Arabidopsis thaliana: one gene and its partners. The protein of the gene in region 2 interacts with the protein of the main gene of each other region in a biochemical or structural test. Each region holds a gene or a part of one and is shown on either strand. Other genes may lie near its edges. The genes, in order: ATMPK8, AT1G71450, MPK5 and MPK16.

What was found.
Region 1: of the proteins of AT1G71450 (region 2) and ATMPK8, one has a biochemical effect on the other in vitro, tested with the Arabidopsis thaliana proteins (one large-scale study listed by BioGRID).
Region 3: of the proteins of AT1G71450 (region 2) and MPK5, one has a biochemical effect on the other in vitro, tested with the Arabidopsis thaliana proteins (one large-scale study listed by BioGRID).
Region 4: of the proteins of AT1G71450 (region 2) and MPK16, one has a biochemical effect on the other in vitro, tested with the Arabidopsis thaliana proteins (one large-scale study listed by BioGRID).

What each region holds. Positions count from the first base shown.
Region 1 is NC_003070.9:6,243,786-6,249,549, forward strand, and holds ATMPK8 (Protein kinase superfamily protein), read right to left. Parts: upstream 4,028-5,764; 5' UTR 3,881-4,027; exon of another isoform or gene 3,807-3,880; 5' UTR 3,798-3,806; coding exon 3,531-3,797; intron 3,304-3,530; coding exon 2,901-3,303; intron 2,809-2,900; coding exon 2,681-2,808; intron 2,579-2,680; coding exon 2,519-2,578; intron 2,361-2,518; coding exon 2,211-2,360; intron 2,099-2,210; coding exon 1,943-2,098; intron 1,852-1,942; coding exon 1,714-1,851; intron 1,600-1,713; coding exon 1,526-1,599; intron 1,439-1,525; coding exon 1,322-1,438; intron 1,232-1,321; coding exon 1,033-1,231; intron 934-1,032; coding exon 856-933; 3' UTR 513-855; downstream 1-512. Other genes in the region: AT1G18160 (Protein kinase superfamily protein), read left to right, coding at 5,341-5,764. UniProt on the Arabidopsis thaliana protein: MKK3-MPK8 and CAMs-MPK8 modules negatively regulates ROS accumulation through controlling expression of the RBOHD gene during wounding.
Region 2 is NC_003070.9:26,925,446-26,928,574, forward strand, and holds AT1G71450 (Integrase-type DNA-binding superfamily protein), read left to right. Parts: upstream 1-1,566; 5' UTR 1,567-1,642; coding exon 1,643-2,194; 3' UTR 2,195-2,611; downstream 2,612-3,129. Other genes in the region: AT1G71460 (Pentatricopeptide repeat (PPR-like) superfamily protein), read right to left, coding at 2,802-3,129.
Region 3 is NC_003075.7:6,890,132-6,894,799, reverse strand, and holds MPK5 (MAP kinase 5), read right to left. Parts: upstream 2,875-4,668; 5' UTR 2,658-2,874; coding exon 2,485-2,657; intron 2,231-2,484; coding exon 2,101-2,230; intron 2,031-2,100; coding exon 1,893-2,030; intron 1,817-1,892; coding exon 1,484-1,816; intron 1,388-1,483; coding exon 1,204-1,387; intron 1,128-1,203; coding exon 955-1,127; 3' UTR 593-954; downstream 1-592. Other genes in the region: AT4G11340 (Disease resistance protein (TIR-NBS-LRR class) family), read left to right, coding at 89-161, 332-592.
Region 4 is NC_003076.8:6,344,270-6,350,209, forward strand, and holds MPK16 (mitogen-activated protein kinase 16), read right to left. Parts: upstream 3,999-5,940; 5' UTR 3,408-3,998; coding exon 3,384-3,407; intron 3,228-3,383; coding exon 2,819-3,227; intron 2,731-2,818; coding exon 2,603-2,730; intron 2,511-2,602; coding exon 2,451-2,510; intron 2,309-2,450; coding exon 2,159-2,308; intron 2,090-2,158; coding exon 1,934-2,089; intron 1,851-1,933; coding exon 1,639-1,850; intron 1,555-1,638; coding exon 1,450-1,554; intron 1,368-1,449; coding exon 1,195-1,367; intron 1,114-1,194; coding exon 827-1,113; 3' UTR 501-826; downstream 1-500. Other genes in the region: BPM1 (BTB-POZ and MATH domain 1), read left to right, coding at 1-96, 191-372.

The DNA of each region.
Region 1 (5,764 bases), about 21 Mb from region 2:
AGTCAAATTCCAAAGTTTGGCGGCATGATCCATTAGTATAATGTTAGTTTTTTTTCACTTTTAAACATGCACAAATTCAATTAGTATTTCTACTAAATAATGTAAAAACAGTGTAGCCTAATTGCTTTAACCAATCTGGCGTCTGTGGACTTTGTTCGCCATATATACATCAACTTTTTGCAGTTTCTTTTTCTTATCGAGACTGTAGTTTGGAGTTGGTGAGTAAGCTCCCTGGAGCTCACTTTACTCGACCATACCATTATTTCTGACCTCTTTTTCAAAAACCCGATTTTGTTCATTTTTTTTCTTCTTCTTTTTGTCGTTTTATTTATTTTATTTTGTCGTTATGAGATTAGTCCAAGAATGGTATCAATTCAGATGGACCATGGAATATAAATAATAGATATTAGGTTAGTCTTCGTCATTAAAAAGCCAACTAACACAGCATTATTATTATGTGTGCTAATTTTTTAGTCTTATCTTTTTTACTTTTAAGAAGTCGAGTATGTTCTTCAGGTTAATATAATTTATTATATAAGACCCAATATCCCGGTTTGACCTGGACCGGATCATACCAATCACACAAACTCTCCCAAAGTACTGAAGCAAAGTGAATACTGAATAGTATATAAATAATTTCAAAATATGAGTGTTTAAAGAAAAGAGAGAAACAAAAAAATTACATGGAGATCGATGTTTTTATTTAAAGTTTCATCAAACCCCCAAAACTATTAAATACAACAAATCAAACCCAACCACGAAGATAGATGTGGATGAATGGAGAAACCAATTTCTTTTCACCAGAAAACTTTCGTGAAAAAAGAAAAGAAAAGAAAAAAAATAACTAAATCATTTTTAAGAATTGTGAAGAGAAGCAACTTTATCAGTAAGCTCTGCAACTGTTTCATTATCTTCTTCCTCAGCTATGGTATCCTGCAAACAAAGAGAAAAGAACAACAGTAAGCAAACTTCATCGTCATGTTCCTTTTCAAGATCTTCTGTTTTTCTTTCTTTCTTTCTTTACTAACTAACCTCTTTGTCAGTTTTAGATTGGACACCAATGCATTTAGAACCGCTGATGCTTGCACTCTTCATGAGGTTACGAGCACTGTAACCTCCTCCATTGTCTGCTTCCTCGGATTCCAAGGTTGAAGCCACAGCAGCTGCTGCTCTTCTCTCAACATCACTGCTTTCTTCTGCAGTTTCACCATTTGGAGCAGGAACTCTCTCTCTGCAACATCATCATAGAGAAGCACAATGCTCTCAGAGGGAGATTGAGAAGAGAAGAGAAGAGATAGAGAGATTCTGTGAAAGACATTACCTTGGCAAGGAAGCATGATGTCTGTGAAGTGCAGTACTTCTTCCTCCTCCTGCTGCTCCTGGTTTACCTTGATTTTCTTCAAGATGAGCAAATTGCCTTTTAAATCGGTCTACCCCACTGCGCGTAAACAACAAAAAGATTTATCGAGTTCATAACTTTCTGTTTTCAAGACTTATAGTTTCTGTTAACTGTTAATTAGCTAACCTTGGGTACATAAAGCTAAGCTGATCACCACCACGAAGGTATTCCTCCAACATCTGAGGATGATATTCCAATATCTGATATTTACAAAATCCAAAGAAAAGTGATTGTTAGGATCAATGAATAACATTGAAACAAATTCAGATTAAAGAAAAGGATATATGTAGAAGGCTTTTGTGTTTGTTTGTTACCTCTCGGTAAATTAATTCTCTGACATCATCTTTAACTAACTTCTTTCTCTCAAAGTCAAATTCAAGCTTTGAAATTGGCTGTGTTGTTGGTTCACGCTCTGAATTTGACAAACCACTGAAATATGGATCAGCTAGTGCCTGTAATATGAAAATCAAAAACGACGAATATAAGAGTTTCGTTCTGTATAAAACAAAAGGGAAAAGTAAAGCAAATTTACTTCTCACTTACATCTTCAGCTGATGCACGATCTTTCGGATCAAAGGCAAGCAGGCGTTCCAGAAGGCGGAGAGCCAAAGGATCAGCTTTAGGGAATTTATGAGAGAAAGGGACTGGTTGTTTTTTCCTCATGCTGCTAAGATATCTCCTCGCCTTTTCATTTCTAATCTGTAGAAGTCCAAGATTGCAAAGCTCATTACAAGGATTAAATTACTCTCAATGATGTATGGAACATTAAATTTGCTACAGAAAATATGAACAAGTGTTTTGAGTGACTAACCCTTGATATTGACTCAGGAGGTGGAGTACCAAGAAAGTCAGTCATTAGATCCAATTGGTGCACAACGTTTTTCCCGGGAAACAAAGGCTTACCCAAAAGCATTTCCGCAAAAATGCAACCGACACTCCAGATATCAATCGCAGGGGTATACTGAAATATAACAAGAGTAGACTTAGCTTGAGATGGCTGGTCTTCTCAACAACACTATAGAACCACACAACAATATTCTACAAAATAGAAAACTAGAAGCATTTTCCTGGTAGGGAGAAATAGCAAGAGTAGTTGGGTTTGGTGAAAAAGAATCTTACTTTGGAGAAAAACGATCCACAGAGTTCAGGGGCACGATACCACCGAGTAGCTACATAATCCTACAAAATCCATATAAACGAAATGAGCTCACAAGCATTTGAAAATAGTTAAGAGGAAGCCTAATGAACAGTTTTGCTTTCACATTGAGTTAGATGACTCACAGTCCAAAATATAGCGGTTGGGGCATCGTTAAAAGAAACGCGAGCCAGCCCAAAATCACAGATCTTCAATTTGCAATCAGCATTAGCTAGAATGTTCTTCGGTTTCAAATCCCGATGAAACACATTAGCTGAAAACAGAGAACCCTTAAGTGTTTCAATATTATCTATAACAAAAATCATGAGGATCGAAAGAGACCAATGTGTAAAACCAGAAACTAACCTGCGTGAACATATTTCAGACCACGAAGAAGCTGGTACAAGAAAAACTGATAATGCTCAGGAGTCAAATCATCATTCGCCTTGATCACTTGATGAAGATCAGATTCCATCAACTCAAAGACAACATAAATATCGCGGAATTCTCTGCGAGAAGGAGGTAACATGATGTGTTTAATCTCCACAACATCAGGATGACGAAGCAACCGAAGCAATTTGATCTCTCTGAGAATCCTAGTAGCATCGGAGACATGCTCAAACACATCGTTGATCTTCTTGATCGCAACTCTCTCTCCAGTGTGTGAGTCAACAGCAGAAGCCACAACACCATAACTTCCTTTGCCAACAACCTCTTGAATCTGATACCTGTTAGCTTCTCCATACTCCGTGAAGAATTCAGTTTCACCCTGAAGAATTTTATTCATGATTCATACTTAAAATTGACCAAAATGATGGATCAAGACAATAAGATCAATCAAACGAAACACAAAACTGAAACTTTATCCTTTTGTGGAAGCAAATGCAATAACACAGAACATTAAGAGAACAAAACAAGTCTCTTCAATCTCAATCAAAAGACAACATCTAAGAGCAAATAGCATAAAAGGGTAGAGAAGGAGAAGAAGAAAGGTACCTTCTTGTGAGGATCCATAGGTAAATGATTACGTTTAGGAACGTTAATAAGCGTTAGACCAGAGAAATCGAGATCTTCTTCAATAATAAGCTCTCCAGAGTTAGCGGAATGATTGGGGTTAGAGGAAGAAGAGAAAGAAGAAGAATTGAAAATGGGTTGTTCGTGATTATTATTATTATTGTTGGAAGAAGAAGAAGAAGAAGAAGAAGAAGGTCGCTGAAAAAGCCATCGACGAACACCGTCGACGAGATTCCCACCACCACCCATAGACCACTACTAGATTAGAAAAGAAAAAGATTAGTAATTTACAAAATTGGGTATCCGAAATTCCTTGAGAGCCAAACAATTACCGTCAAGTCACCGTCTTTCTCGCCGCGTCTCTCGGTTTTGTCCTTCGGAGTTGGAGACCATGTTCTTCTCCTATTTTTTCATTTTTTTTTTAATTTTCTTTTTATGTTTTTTTCATTATTTATGCTCAGATATTTATTTTTTTCCCCTGCTTGATTATTAGAGAGAGTGAGTGGAGGGAGAAGAACAAAATATTTAAACCTTTGGAATATTTCGACGACCCGGTTTGTCTATACCGGTTAATGATAACCTGATTCGGGCATATGCATTTATTGAGTATATGGGCCTACAAAGCGGCCCATACAATAAATGTATTTTCGTTCAATCACTAAACGGATTAAACTCAACCGGACAAGGTTCGAAATTAAGAAGATGTTAGATGTTACATTACAAACCGGAATTAAAAGTCTAATTATGAATCTGAGACACAAAAAAAGAGAGAGTAAAAACGCCTTGCTCGTTCGGTCGCGTTGATGATATGAACATATATTTCATCATGAGCTGAGCAGGTCCAGGAGTCTGTTGCGGTTCGAGCACATCATAGTTATTGGGTCATAAATGAATCCGACAGTAGCGTAATCTAAGCATTTTTTAGTGAATAATACGCTTGATGATATATGTGATATGTCATGGGAGGATAATGCATAAGGTGGTGAGCGAAGCATTTTTTCAGCCAAAAAGACAAAATTTTATTTGAATAAATGATATCAAACAAATCCAGATACGCGAAGGAATATTGAATATGGAAAGCACGATCGTAAACAATTCTGCGATTTATCATTTCTTATTTTTTTTAACAAAATGTACGGTTTTGCATGATATATTTGCATTAAAAATGAATTGGTAAGTTTTTAAATAGCTCTATATTTGCATTAAGCTTTGACTGATTGTACAAAAAATAGAGTAATTTTTTAATTACAGTAGCAAAAAAAAGCAAAACAAAATTCAATTCTCTCCAGCTCAAAAATCCACTCTTCATCCTCTACTATACTCGTATCTATCTATCTACTCTACTCTGTTTTACGTAAGTTTTTTTTAGTTGATTTTCTTTTGTCGGACTTTAAGAGAGAGAAAGTGGCGTCTTTGTGGACTTTCTCAATTCAGGAGAGAGTCAAAGAGAAGGAAGAGGCTTCGCTTACTTGCTGAGAAAAAAGCTCCAAACTTTCTCTTATTGGGTTTTTGATCAGCTCCGGAGATAAAAAAAAAAAGTATTTTCTTGAAATCGAAATCTGATCTCCATTGAGAGTCTTGCTACTTGATTTGGATTCCGATTTAAGGTTTTCTCGAGAATTCTTTTGCTGCAGTTATTAGATTTTGACGAGCCGTTGATCTGGACGGAGTTCCAGATCTCCGGGTCGTGGTACCAAGGAATTAGGGTTTTAGCACAAAGTTCTCGTTTTTCTGTGTATTCGAGGGATGAAGGAGTTTTCGGGTCGATGTTCGCTGCTCTAACATTTGGAGTATGAAGATGAACATGAAGAAATTTCTCAAAAAGCTTCGTATCACGCCCAATCAACGAGACGATGGTGAAGGTTCAGTCTCTAACAGAAGCAATAAGTCTAGTGATGCAGAACCATCTCCTTCTGATTCATTGAGGTCTCAAGATAACTCTGAATTCAAACCCTTTTTGGGTTTATCAAATTGGTTAAGCTCTGTTACTCACAGGAAAAGCCCTTCTTCTTCCAATGCCACCAATAGCAAAGAGGATGACACTACCATGGAACATGGTGGTCCCGTTGGGTCGGAATCTGGGATGCAGGGTTTGGGTTCTAGTAGTAATTCCAAGGATCCAGAAGTTGAAGAAGAATATCAGATACAGTTGGCTCTAGAGTTAAGTGCTAGGGAGGATCCTGAAGCTGCTCAGATTGAGGCTATGAAGCAGTTCA
Region 2 (3,129 bases):
TGTTTGTTTGTTTTTTTGTTATTCAAATTCCTCTATTTCTGTCTCATTTCAAGTTAACTTTATATCTTCTGTCTTTTCCGCCAGAGAAAACAAAAAGCTATCCTTTTCAAACCAAGACTCTTCCCTCCGACACTCATGCAAAGCAGACAGAGATGTGATTTTATACACGTTCGTTCTATTACTCAAAACAAAACAAAAAATTGTCTAAACCGTCTTACTTAAAAGACCGTGATGCAAAGAAATGTAATATTTGTTTTAAAGCATAGGCCGATATATCTCAAATGGTTGCAACAACTGTTTTAAAAAATAAAACACTACGCAAGCAACTACCCAACGTATATAACTCATTTTCTAAACGTGTTAAGATGAAACAATATATATTAGATATTTAGATACATGGGAAACTATCTAAAATATTATCACTGATAATATTTGTATATATATAGACATATATATATATATATATATAATCAAATAGCAAACCATAATATTTTAAAAAATATCATATATGAGAATTAGACAAAACATTATATTCAAAGAATTAAGAATGTCATGTTTTAGTAGGAACGAAATTTAAAAATAATTTATCGAGGCGCACAATCAATTAAAAAAAAAGATTGAACATTAAATGATCATTTATTATCGTATGTGTTGAGTCAACTAAAGCAGTCTAAGAGCATCTAGTTGTCTAACTTCAGTGATAATGTCCGACTAAAAAAAAACTTCATTGATAACAAAAATGCATAATTCCAAAGCTTAAGAGATATTTTGTTTACTTCTTTATTAAAAAAAAAGAGAGAGAGATATTTGCCACAATCTATGACTATATAATGGAATCTAAAATCTAAAAAATAAAATCAGACTAAATAAAGCTACACATAGTTAGATTTTTTTTTTTAACTCATATATATTGATCACACAAAAGAACTATCAATAAAATTCAAATGTGGTAATCAATCAAATGTGGTAGCCTAATGATTAAGGGCATATCTTGTAGATAGATGCTAGGGATCAAAATTTCATCCTTGAAGCAACCAAAATGTCTTAGAATTAGTAAGCTTGATTAGTAAAATAAATTATTACCAATGTTTTTTTATATTACGACCAATGTTTTAATTGATCAATTGACTCAAGAAAAGGAAGATTATTATGACCCAATGAGCTTTGACATTTGTTTTAGGATAAATCCCACTTTTGCACCAACTCTTAGCATCACAAAGTTATGGAATGGATCACAAAAGGGTCCCATAGATGATGCAAGAAAACCGCGTCTACTATAGCAAATCCAATCTCTTAAAACAAAACCTTAATATTCTGCCTCTTTCCTAAAACCTCTCATTAGTTTACTCATATTACTATTTGAGGGAATCTACAGTGCATTGATACTAAATAGATAACACTTGTTACACCCACAAAGGCCCATAACAATTTTGAAGTTTCCTCGAAGCTAACTTTGGAGGCTTTGAGATTTTAAAACGAGTACACAGGAGTTTATCTGCTGTTAAGATACTAATCCACACCTATAAATAAGTGCTGACAGTTACAAACATTCCAACATCAAAATCCAAACAGACAAAATACAAAATACAAAAACAACAAACACTCTTGAGCAAAAACTTTGTGTGCGTGTGTGTGTGTGTTCATGGCTGGTCTTAGGAATTCCGGTAACAGCGACAAAGCGCAAAACGATGGCAAAGGTGTACCATCTGCCTACAGAGGAGTCCGGAAGAGAAAATGGGGGAAATGGGTGTCTGAAATCCGTGAACCGGGGACCAAGAACCGTATCTGGCTAGGCAGTTTCGAGACTCCTGAAATGGCTGCAACCGCATACGACGTGGCAGCATTTCATTTCAGAGGGAGAGAAGCTCGTCTCAACTTCCCTGAGCTCGCCAGCAGCCTTCCACGTCCTGCAGACTCTAGCTCAGACAGCATTCGCATGGCAGTTCATGAGGCAACACTCTGCCGCACCACCGAAGGAACAGAGTCAGCCATGCAAGTGGACAGCTCAAGCTCCTCCAATGTAGCTCCAACAATGGTCAGACTCTCGCCCAGGGAAATTCAAGCGATCAACGAGTCAACTTTGGGATCTCCTACTACAATGATGCATTCAACATACGACCCTATGGAGTTTGCTAATGATGTGGAGATGAATGCTTGGGAAACATACCAGAGTGACTTTCTTTGGGACCCTTAACCCCAAAACCTAACTCATGGAGAGCTTCTACAGCTCAATCTTACAATACCAGCATAAGTTACTGGCTTAGAATACTTAAATTTATTGAAGTTTAGTTTTCAGAGTCTACCACAAGGGTTGTTGATTCTGACGTTATAGCAAAGAATAAAGCTCATCAGATTTTGGAGGGAAAGACTCTATGAGCTTGATGGGTCCCTGAAAGGACCTCTTCACAAATATTTTTAAATTTTTTTGTTACTAGTAGAAACATAGATTATGAGGTGTGACTTATTATTATTTTTTACAATTGTTTGTTACCTCATTGATGTATTTGATTTGATATAATATTGAATGGTTTCCTGAAAGCTATAAGATATTTTATTCTTACTAGACTTGTGTTCTCTCTTGACTTTCTTCCCTTAACTAATCTTAAGAAAACTCTACATTTGATACTGCAAGATTTTTACAAGTTGAACAAAATTCAATCATTCTGGAACCAAATTCAGTATATACAGCACTATTAATGCAAGTTCTTGGAAACAAGAGAACAGAATATACTTCTCATAACTCTTCGAGCAACTTACTTGGTGGCTTTGAGAAAAAGCAAAGAAGATGTCTGAATCTGCAGTCAGGTCTGTAGGGATGACGAGGAACTCATGACCGCAAGTCTTTGTGCCTCTTCAACACGACCACACCGATTGAGAAGTTCAATGACCAGTGAATAATGCTCTTCTGATGGCTGCAAATTGTACATCCGGAGCATCAAGTTGAAGAAGCGATAAGCTTCATCAACAAATCCGGCTTGACTGCAAATAGATAAAACTGCTGTAAATGTGAAGGTGTTGGGAGTAAACCCTCTTGATACCATTTGCTCAAAACAGTTTATTGCATCCCTGAAGAGTTCATTGCATCCATAAGCCTCTATAATGGCGGTCCATGTCAGAGAGCCCTTGACA
Region 3 (4,668 bases), on a different chromosome or scaffold from region 2:
ATGAGGTCATTTAACAGTAGTTTCTTCCATTTGCGACATTGTTATCATACTTATATGATTTGTTTTCTTTCTTACTTTGTTTTGGAAGCAACCAAGCAACCTTCGTAAATGAAATCGTCGAGAAGGTTAAGGCAATGCTTGACAACGTTTCCTCATCACACGTACGTAATCCTATTAAATCAAAAATTATGTAGTTCTAGAATTAGAGAAATTGAAATATTGCCAATGACAAAGAAAAAAAAAAGGTGTGTACAAAAGAACATACTGTATGTTAATTATATATATATAATTATTGTATAAATCTAGTGGCTAATCATTGTAAAATCTCTAGATTACGCCGCAACATCAAGTTTACATAAGTTTTCGGAGTCGAGAGATCCGCAACAAGTTCTCCAGCCTTCTTAGAGCCGCGTTACGAAGGAGTGGGATCAACGTCCTTCTAGATGATGAAAATATCACTCGAATAGAGTCAAGAGACGAAGTTGATAGACTTTTTTGTCGAGTTTCGAGAGTGAAGGATCGAACTAGTGTTCATTACCAAAATTTGCAAGAGCTCGACGTAGTGCTTGAAGAAACTGCTGGAGATGAATAAACACATCGAGTTTTTCCCATTTTCTACGAGTACAATCCAAGTGACATGATACAAGTCTAAACAAAGATAGCTTTTTAATTTAATTTCTTGAGTTACAAGATAACAACATGATATGTAGAAGAAACAGAACACTATCTAAGACATCCTGATAATAAGAATGGACATAACTACTAAAGATATGTCTTGGGTTACAAGGATCCTTATAGAACAATTTCTTGAGTTGCAAGACAGCTTTTTTAACTAGTGAAATAGCTTAAACAACGATCAACATGAGATGAAGGAGAAACAGAGCTTAAACACTACTAATTTGTTTTGCTCAATGTCAGAGTATAAAACTTGCTTTCCCCTTCTTAAATAATGTTTTAAATGCTCGGCAGAGGATTGAACTTCACAGATTCGAGCCACACAAGCTCCTTTATCTCTTCTTCAGTGGAAGACGGATCCTCAAAATGGAAACTGAAATGGTTGGAACAAACAGGCTCGTCGTTAAGGTCGTGAAGAGCTGACAAGTAAGGATAACACAGTGCTTCCTCAACTGCAAAACAAAGAGTATGATCAAGGATTCATCACCCATATGCCAATCTCGCTATGTACAATTTTTCTCATCATACCCGTGATACGTTTTACTGGATCAAACACGAGCATTTTCTCTAGTAGATCGATAGCTGTAGAATTCATACTAGGAAACCTAGCTGAAAAGTTTTGTCTTGGGAACTTAGGTAGCTCCTTAACATATTTTCTCGCGTTCGCGCTTCTGAGAAACTCTAGACTCGCTCCATCAGGTGATCCTATCAACTACTCAACCACATGAAACAACTCATAAACACATTGCAACACACAAATAAAAGTTTCCAACATTTGTACAGATCTTTCTAAAACAGAACATCATACCTCAGTGATAAGTTTAAGCTGATGAACGTAATCCTTCCCCGGGAAAAGCGGTTCCCTTGTCATAATCTCAGCAAATATGCAACCAACAGACCATACATCAATAGCAGATGTATACTCAGAACTATTAAGAAGCAGCTCTGGTGCTCTGTACCATCGTGTTACAACATACTCTGTCATATACTCTGTTTCTGATGTAGTCCTTGCCAAACCAAAGTCAGTAATCTTAAGATCGCAATTCGAATTCAAAAGCAAATTACTCGGCTTAAGGTCACGATGTAAAACATTTGCTGAATGAATATATTTGAGTCCTCGTAGAATCTGATACAAGAAGTACTGCAAAAGAAGAAAAAGTGAATCACTTGTGATTAAATCAACCATAGTATCAAATATAGCAGAGTAAAAACCGTACCTGACAATGATCATCATTCAAAGATTGGTTTGATCGAATAATCTGATGAAGATCAGTATCCATTAACTCAAAAACTATATAAACATCAACGAAATCTTCCTTCTTTGGTGGTCTAATGATATCTTTTATAACAACAACCTGTACAAGTCAAGACCACATTAGCTAGAAACTCTAATCGTTTACCGCGAAAATAGAGTACAAAACTTACGTTCTCGTGTTCTAAATGACGAAGTAGCTTAATCTCTCTCAATGTTCTCTTTGCATCTACTTTATTATCAAAGGCTTTACCTATCTTCTTTATCGCAATCTCTTCGTGTGTCTCCGAATCTACTGCAGCACTATAACAATAAACCAATACTCTCATGAATCATTTTGCTTATACATAAACACAAACACAAACAAATCATCAAATTCATTCAATTTAAACTATGATTTTGAAGACAGAACCTTTCTTAAATCCAAAAAAGATCAAATTTTGCAAGCAACCCTAATTCAAAAACCTATACCAATACTTAGTTCTTTATCTAATTAGGGTTACAAATACTAAGTAAGAAACAAGAATATGAAATACACAAAAGGGTAGAAGTTGTACCAGACAAAACCGTAAGCTCCTCTACCAATAGGTCGAATAGGAGGAACATACTTATTAGAAACTTCAAACAAGTTTCCATAAACATTGTATTGAAAATATCTTCCTCCATGAACAAGAACTCCTTTGATGTTAGTATCACCTAAATCTGTCGCTGATTCAATTTCCTTCGCCATTTTTTTCAAATATCGAGATAATACAGAAGAAACCCAGAAAATCAAACTTTGAATACAAGATTTTTGGAGATGAGATCGATTCGATTCGTCTCTGCAAAATTAAAATAATGATTTTGTTGAATGTTGAAAACTTTGAAAATCTAAGGAGATAGAGAGAGACGCGTCAGAGGACAACGACTCTTTTTCATTAGTTTGAATATTTTGAATAGGTCAAAACGTATCGTCACATGTCCATCAGCCACGTGTACTTTGTAATAAATACAGATGGGTAAACGTTTGGGCCTGGCCCATCTATTTAATATAGAGAGAGGTATGCTATCAGCTCTGGTCTATGTTATGAGGCCCACGTAATATGAAAGTAAGAGACCTTTTCCTTTTCACCTATCAATACACATCTCTCACTAAAGGAATTCTTCGCAACAGATACTGAGATACAATACAAGTTGGAGTTTAATCTCTCCTCTTCTACTTGATGATTCTCATCCAAAACTACATACTTTCATTCTAAGGTATGTATTCCATATAATCAATTCATACTTTGTGGTGCGAGCGTAATGGTAGACGTCATGGTAACTCTTCTGTTCCTTCGGCCAAGCTTGCAAGTATTATCGACAAGAACGTTAGAAACCGCTCCATCAGCACAATTTGGATCTCGGGAAACTCGGTTTATGAAGAGGGCCTCCACTATTGGTTCCACACCCGTATTCCATAGATTCCTTCAAATGTTATAGTCTCTTCGTTTTCAAACTTTCAACTCAAAGTCACATTCATTATACAATTTTTTTTGGTGAATATCATATTATTCACTTAATATATCAGTAACATCTTATATGTACATATAACAGTTGACATATTAAACCAATATCGAATAGAATGTTATCTTTTACTTAATATATTAATTTATACTATTCACCAAATTGTCATTAAAATTACGTTTTGAACTCTGGAATATCGCGAGTTTACCAATTTACTCATAATCTTCAACTTTTCTATATAAAAAAAAGAAAATTAATATGGATCATATTATACGAGGTTTCTTTTGATAACTTAATCTTTTGAGTCAAATTTACGCAGAACCTAAATATAATTAACTTGTGATGCTCAAACTACAACCCTTAAAATACCCTAAATTGTTCAATATTTTCCTCGTAAAATACCCCATATCTAACTCAAATCACTCGCACTTACACATCAAATATGACTAGGCCGACACAATATAATATATATCCAATAATTACATGTTATTTAATTGGTACGACAATCTCCGACAACGATACCATTACCAATACCAATCTCTTTTAGCCATATTCATGCTAAAAGTGTAGTGGCAGATCCAATTCACTTTTATTATTGATCTTCTCCACTGATTGGCTTAATTTGATGTGGCATTCAATTAGATTAATTAGATCTCCAACATTATCCATGCTTTATAACTCATGACTCACGTGACTGTTTTTTTTCCCTCAAGTTTTGTTTCGTTTATCTTCACAATATTTTTAGATATCCTAAATTGAAAACATAATAGACATGATTGTTGAATTATGTAGGTAAATCTCTCAGTTAGAAATACTGGGTTTGAGGCATGTTGGAAGAGATTTCTTTCCCAAAGGATATGAATTTAATCTGGTGTGGATCCCGCCTCTAGAAAATGTAAGGTCTTTGAGTTTGAATTTCCAGATATTCAAAAAAAATAAAAAAACAAAAAGACAACAACTCTAAGCATAATAATTTACTCAAGTTGATATGTGGTGAACTATTCAATGTGAAACGTTTGCGCTCTATTATTGGTATGCTGTATTATTAGTGTGACGGTATGACACAACGGAACTTCCAATATATATGTTGTACAATTCTAAATTGGATTTTACCGGGGGAAAATATCTTGATCAAGTACGAAATATGAGTGGCTTGAGTGTATTGTATATTTGTATGTATATGGATACTAATAAATAATCTTTGTTCCGTGGGAAAAGATTGTGTAATTTTTGGTTCATAGTAACAAGATTAAGAA
Region 4 (5,940 bases), on a different chromosome or scaffold from region 2:
CGGTTGCAACTACTTTGGCCCTAGCAGAGCAGCATCATTGTTTGCAGCTAAAAGCAGTGTGTCTCAAATTCGTGGCACTGCCAGAGAACCTGAAAGGTAAACACACAAGATCTTTCTTTTTAATCGATCTGAATCAACTCTGTTCACATGATGAGACTTGTGTCTGTTTTTTCCCTTTTGTTATGATCAGCTGTGATGCAAACAGATGGGTTTGATTATCTGAAAGAGAGTTGCCCATCTTTACTAACGGAGCTATTGCAGTATGTGGCGAGGCTAAGTGAACACTCTGTTATAGTATCTGGACATCGAAAAGAAATATTTGCCGATGGTTGTGACGCGAGTGGAAGACGAGTGAAGCCCCGGTTGCACTGAATGGGAGAGAAAGAAGAAAGATTTGTGCATTGTATAATCTCTGTTATGGATAATGGCTGATCTAATCGGATCTAGCAAGTACAATGAATCGTTTTCAACGCGTTTTCTCATAAATCAAAGATCCAATGAAATTTGGGGTTTATTGTTGGTGCATATCAGATTATTAGGTGAAACAGATTGAGTTCATGGGATATAAGAATCGTAGACAGTGTAAGTGTTACAACGTAGATAAACAAAGGTTGTTTTAAGAATACAAAACTATGAAGACAAATTACATGACAGGATCTGTAAGAACTTCTTTTATCTTCTCACGCTTCCTTCTCTCATTTCGCTCTTAAGCATGTCTTCACGTTTCGGCTCTTGATAACACAATGGATGACTCAAAGGGATACTCTTTTTAGCTCTCCCTGAGACGTGAGGTGGTAAAGCTAAAACTAGAACCATAACATCATGTTTAATACCAGCGACTCATTGCAGTATCTTGTGCTGCAGACACTTTTTGTGGTATATACTGAGTGTTTGGCTTCAATCTACTTGGACCTTCAGCAGCGGTGGCGCAATCTTCATCTCCTCTGTTGCTTTTGCAAGGTTGAGTCCTCTTTGGGTATTGAGACGCAGCAGCTGGATTTCTGACCATCCTTCTCTGTTGTTGTTCAAGAGCTTCAACGCCTGTGGCTGCGCCGCAGTTGTTATAGCGTAACACTGATCCAACTACTTTACCAGGCCTAGCTACTGCAGCACCTGCTTCATTACAACCAGATAAATGTTCAGGAGACAGAGTTATTCTGCATCATAACATTATATACAGAGAGGGTGAGAGACCTTGGATTGTTTGAGGGACGTTGATAGGAATTCTCGACATTGGCATCTGGGCATTCCTGTCTGCACCCCGAGGTCTCTCGTCTCTAATGCTACACTTGGAGAGTCCATCAGTGACTTCAGCTGAACTCTGTTGTGCCACCGGATGATTGTTATCAGAGTACAATACGCAAGCCCTGCAAAACATAAAAAGAGGCTTTGTTGAGCTGTTTCGAAAGAATCCCAAATGATCAAATTTTTAAAGGACGTAAAGCATACCTTGGTAATGATGCATGCTGTTGCCTCTCAGGGGGATTATGAGAAGTACCATTCTTGTAGTGTTCCTCGAGGTAAGCAAATTGTTTCTTGAAATGTTCCACCGCACTGCAGAATGAATAATACATTAACCATAAGAACATGGATAATACACAGGAGTATAGTATGAAGCAGGTCAGCTCAGGCCGGTACCTCGGGTACATAAAGTTAGTTGGCTCTGATCCATCCAAGTATTCTTTCAGCATCTTTGGGTGGTACTCCAGAGACTCTCTGTATATGAGCTCTCGGACGTCTTCTTTTGTGATCCTCCGCCTTTCAAACTCAAATTCCAACTTTGTGACAGGTTGAGCAGAAGGCTCTCTTTCAACCTTAGCTAAACCCTTGAAGTACACATCTGCAAGCGCCTGAGGTAACACATAAAACCATTTAGTTAGCTATAACCAAAGTTACATCATAAGGAGTGTAAAGAACGAAATGTATGAACCACCTCTTCAGCTGTAGGCCGGTCCTTGGGTTCAAAAGACAACATCTTTTCTAGAAGACGAAGAGCAAGAGGATCAGTATGTGGGAACTTATGTGAAAAAGGAATAGGCTTCTTCTTCCTCATGCTGCTCAAGTATCTTCGAGCTTTCTCGTTCCTAACCTGTTTCAGTGTAAGAAATTCAGCCAAAAAAAGAAACAATGCTTAAGCATTGTGGAAAGGAACACATACCCTTCCAATGGCTTCAGCAGATGGAGTTCCCAGCATATCCGTCATCAGATCCAATTGATGGACCACATTTTTCCCGGGGAAAAGAGGTTTCCCTGTTAAGAGTTCTGCAAAAATGCACCCGATGCTCCATATATCTATTGCCGGTGTATACTGAACAGAAGCATAGATAAAGAAAAAAAATGTTACCATAAAATTTTATAATCTGAATGAGAGAGCTATAGTGTCTACTGACTAGATTCCCTATGAAAATTTGAAACATTCGATGAAAGTATATATACAAAATCATGGTCACCTTTGAGAAAAAAGATCCACATAGTTCTGGAGCCCTGTACCATCGAGTAGCTACATAATCCTGCGATCAGAAAGCAGTAGGAATAAAAAATTGGTTTCATACCAAAAAGAGTAAACTTGTAAAGAGTAAGCATTTAAATTACTACTACTCACAGTCCAGAATATCGCAGTCGGTGTATCATTGAATGCGACTCTTGCAAGTCCAAAATCACAGATCTTGAGTTTGCAATCAGCATTTGCCAATATGTTTTTGGGTTTAAGATCCCGATGAAAGACATTAGCTGAAAGGAAGAGAAAAAAAAAGTATTTTCAGAAAGATAATCATAAACTTATACTAATCAATGAAATTTTATTGCTCGCTAGCTTAACCTGTGTGTATATACTTGAGGCCACGAAGAAGCTGATAGAGGAAAAACTGATAATGCTCAGGAGTCAAATCATCATTTGCCTTAATAACCTGATGCAAATCAGATTCCATAAGCTCGAAAACCACGTAAATGTCTCGAAACTCTCTTCTTGAAGGCGGCAACAAGATGTGTTTGATCTCAACAATGTCAGGATGGCGTAAGAGTCTAAGAAGTTTGATCTCACGAAGAATGCGAGTTGCATCCGAAACATGCTCAAAGATATCATTGATTTTCTTAATCGCAACTTTCTCTCCGGTATGTGTATCGTAAGCAGAACAGACAACTCCATAACTTCCTTTACCAATCACTTCCTCTATTCTGTATCTGCTTCCTTCACCATATTCCGTGAAGAAATCTACCTCAACTGATGACTGAATATACAGAAAAATCTATTGTCAATATCAAAAGCTTCAATACAGAGAAAGATTAGGACTAAACTAAAAGGCAGTAACAGTAAAAAGGATTGCTACAGATCCTAATCAGTTCTAATAAGCAAATCTGATACATAAGAGATTGAAAAATTGGACCTTTTTGCGGTGATCAGGCTGCATCTTCAGCTACAGGGCATTCAAAGGACGCTTACGAAGACCAAATGTAATAGCTTCTGAAACCCAAACTTAGTGAGCTTTTGAATCAAAAAAATGCAAAGACTGAGAATTTTAGTTCCAAAGGCAATGTCAAAAACAGAGAGCTCTATATCCAAATCCCGAAATCCAGAATCGATTGAAACAAATCAGAGTAGTTCCCGAGACCAAAAAAAAGGAGGCAAATTTATGGGGTGAAACAAGGAATAACCTAATCGAGATTTCTTTGCTTTTTGAAGTGAAATCAAAGAGATCAAAAGAAGGAAGCGATGGGTAATTTGAGAATCACTGAGATTGAAGAAAGACGAGGTTTTTATCTTCTTCGATCAATCTCTCTGCTTGAAATGGCTAAAAGGAAAAAGGAGAGAGTTTTTGAAAGTCGAGAGAAGCTTTTATGGTTCAGAAACCCAAAAATGATTCTTTTGAGCTAATAAAATTTCTTTACAGGATCTGAAATCTCACGAAGCAGACGAAGAGGCAAGTTTATTTGCTCACTTTTGTAGAAGAAAGTGTAGAGAGGAGAGATCTATGAGATGAAGAACAGAACAGAACAAATTATTAAAATATTATTATTATTCGTTTCTTTTATTGTGATAATTGAAAAAAGCGGATAAGTGGAGTCTGATTATCGTTGTACGAAAACTCCAATTTGCCCCCCAAGGTTTATGGGTACTTGCGACTTTTGTCTTAAATCTAGCTTTTGGATAATGTCCAAACGTCGAATATAATACAGTGTGGATATTTTTGTATAAACTATTTTAATATATGCTCTTCTTAATGAATAGATATCCGATTTATTATGGATTAGTGATGACTTATAATTATTACAATAATAAATAGTTCGTTTACTTTATAATTTTCTTTCGTGTCATAGTCGTTGTTAAAGACATATAAATGAAGTGGATTATCCTATATTTCGAATCCGATTGAAATGAGTGGTTTAAATTTTTTTTCGTATGCAGTTAATGAGTAATCTTACTTATTTTTAAGATATAGAATTTGACCGATAAGACATACTTAATTATCTAGAGACAATATTTATGAGTTATGTACAATGGTACAAGAAACTTACAAAAACTTATATATGCAATCGTCAATCTAGTATTTTATTTGAAATATGTATTTCGTATCTAATATCTTCTGTCTTTGGTGGGTTCTTTGAAATTGCTTCATAACTGTAGGTGCTTGCATGCGTAAACTTTTGCATGGTTGGAAAAATTGCATTTGCATCGATTTCAAACGTATAAATAAAGCGAAGCTTTAAATCTTCAAGTAGATGTCACTACAAGAAAACACGCCAGTTGCGAGGGAAGAAACCGTCGCTAGTCTCTCGCAAAAAGCATTTAGCGAGGGAATTGCGACGAACTCCAGTTCCTCGCAAAACGCGCGTCGTAAAATCAAATTCGTAGCAAGTTCCTCGCAAATGTTGCGAGGAACAAGTTGCCTCGCAAAACACACGCAATTTGCAAGGGAAGCAATCCGTAGCAAATTCACAGCAAATTTCGGGTCTCGCAAGTTTCTCGCTAGTTGCGACGGACGACCAGACTCGCGAAGCACACGCAATTTGCGAGGGACGTACTCGGTAGCATATTAGCTGCAACAGTAGCCTCGCTCTTTCCTCGCAAGTTGCGAGGGAATACTTCAGTAGCAAAGTAGTCGCAAATTCTTTGTCCCGCTAATGCCTCGCAAAATTTGCGATGGATTTGCGTGGCTTTTATCTGTAGTCGCAAATCCGTAGTAAAGTTTGCGATGGATTCGCGGTAAATAAGCGACTCTTTTCTGTTTTGTTTTAAGCATGATTACTGTTGAATATAGGGATTACTGTTCTACTTAACAATATTTAATGGTTATCTTAATTGGATTTTTATACTAAACTTTGAAGTTGAATACTAATTAAGAAACCTTAAACTCATATTTAAAAGCTGAAATTTTAGGTTTCAAGTACAGAAAAAGAAACTGAATACAGAATGTTAGAAGGCCAAATAATTTTACATAACAAACCAACAAAAGATTCAAGTTTTGATGAGTGAAAAAGAAACTTAATACAGAATGTTAGAAAGCCTCAGATGGAGATGACCCAGTGTTTGGGTTAGCTACAACAGCCTCAGGTTCGACAGCTTCAGGTCCGATCCCAGCAGTTGTGGCATTAGGCGCATCAGGTGGATTGGAGCTGACTGGTTCAGTTCTTGAAGAGGATCTGACTCGAAACAAGGCAGCAAACTCTGGATCCTTCTTGGCAAGGTAATCAAAGTATGCGTCAAAACTGGTGATCTTCTCAGCCTGGTTTGCAATGAGGGCTTCAACAGCAGCCAGCTTCTGGGAAAGCACAACCGGATCATCTCGAGGAAGCACCGGTCCGGCATGCGCCGAAGACGCCTCATGCTGCAATGAACCAGCCCCATAAATCCTGCCTTTCTTCTTAGGAGCAACCTGTCACAAACTCATAACCAAAACAAGCAAACATGATCAAAGCAAAGTCGAAACATATAGACATAATGCA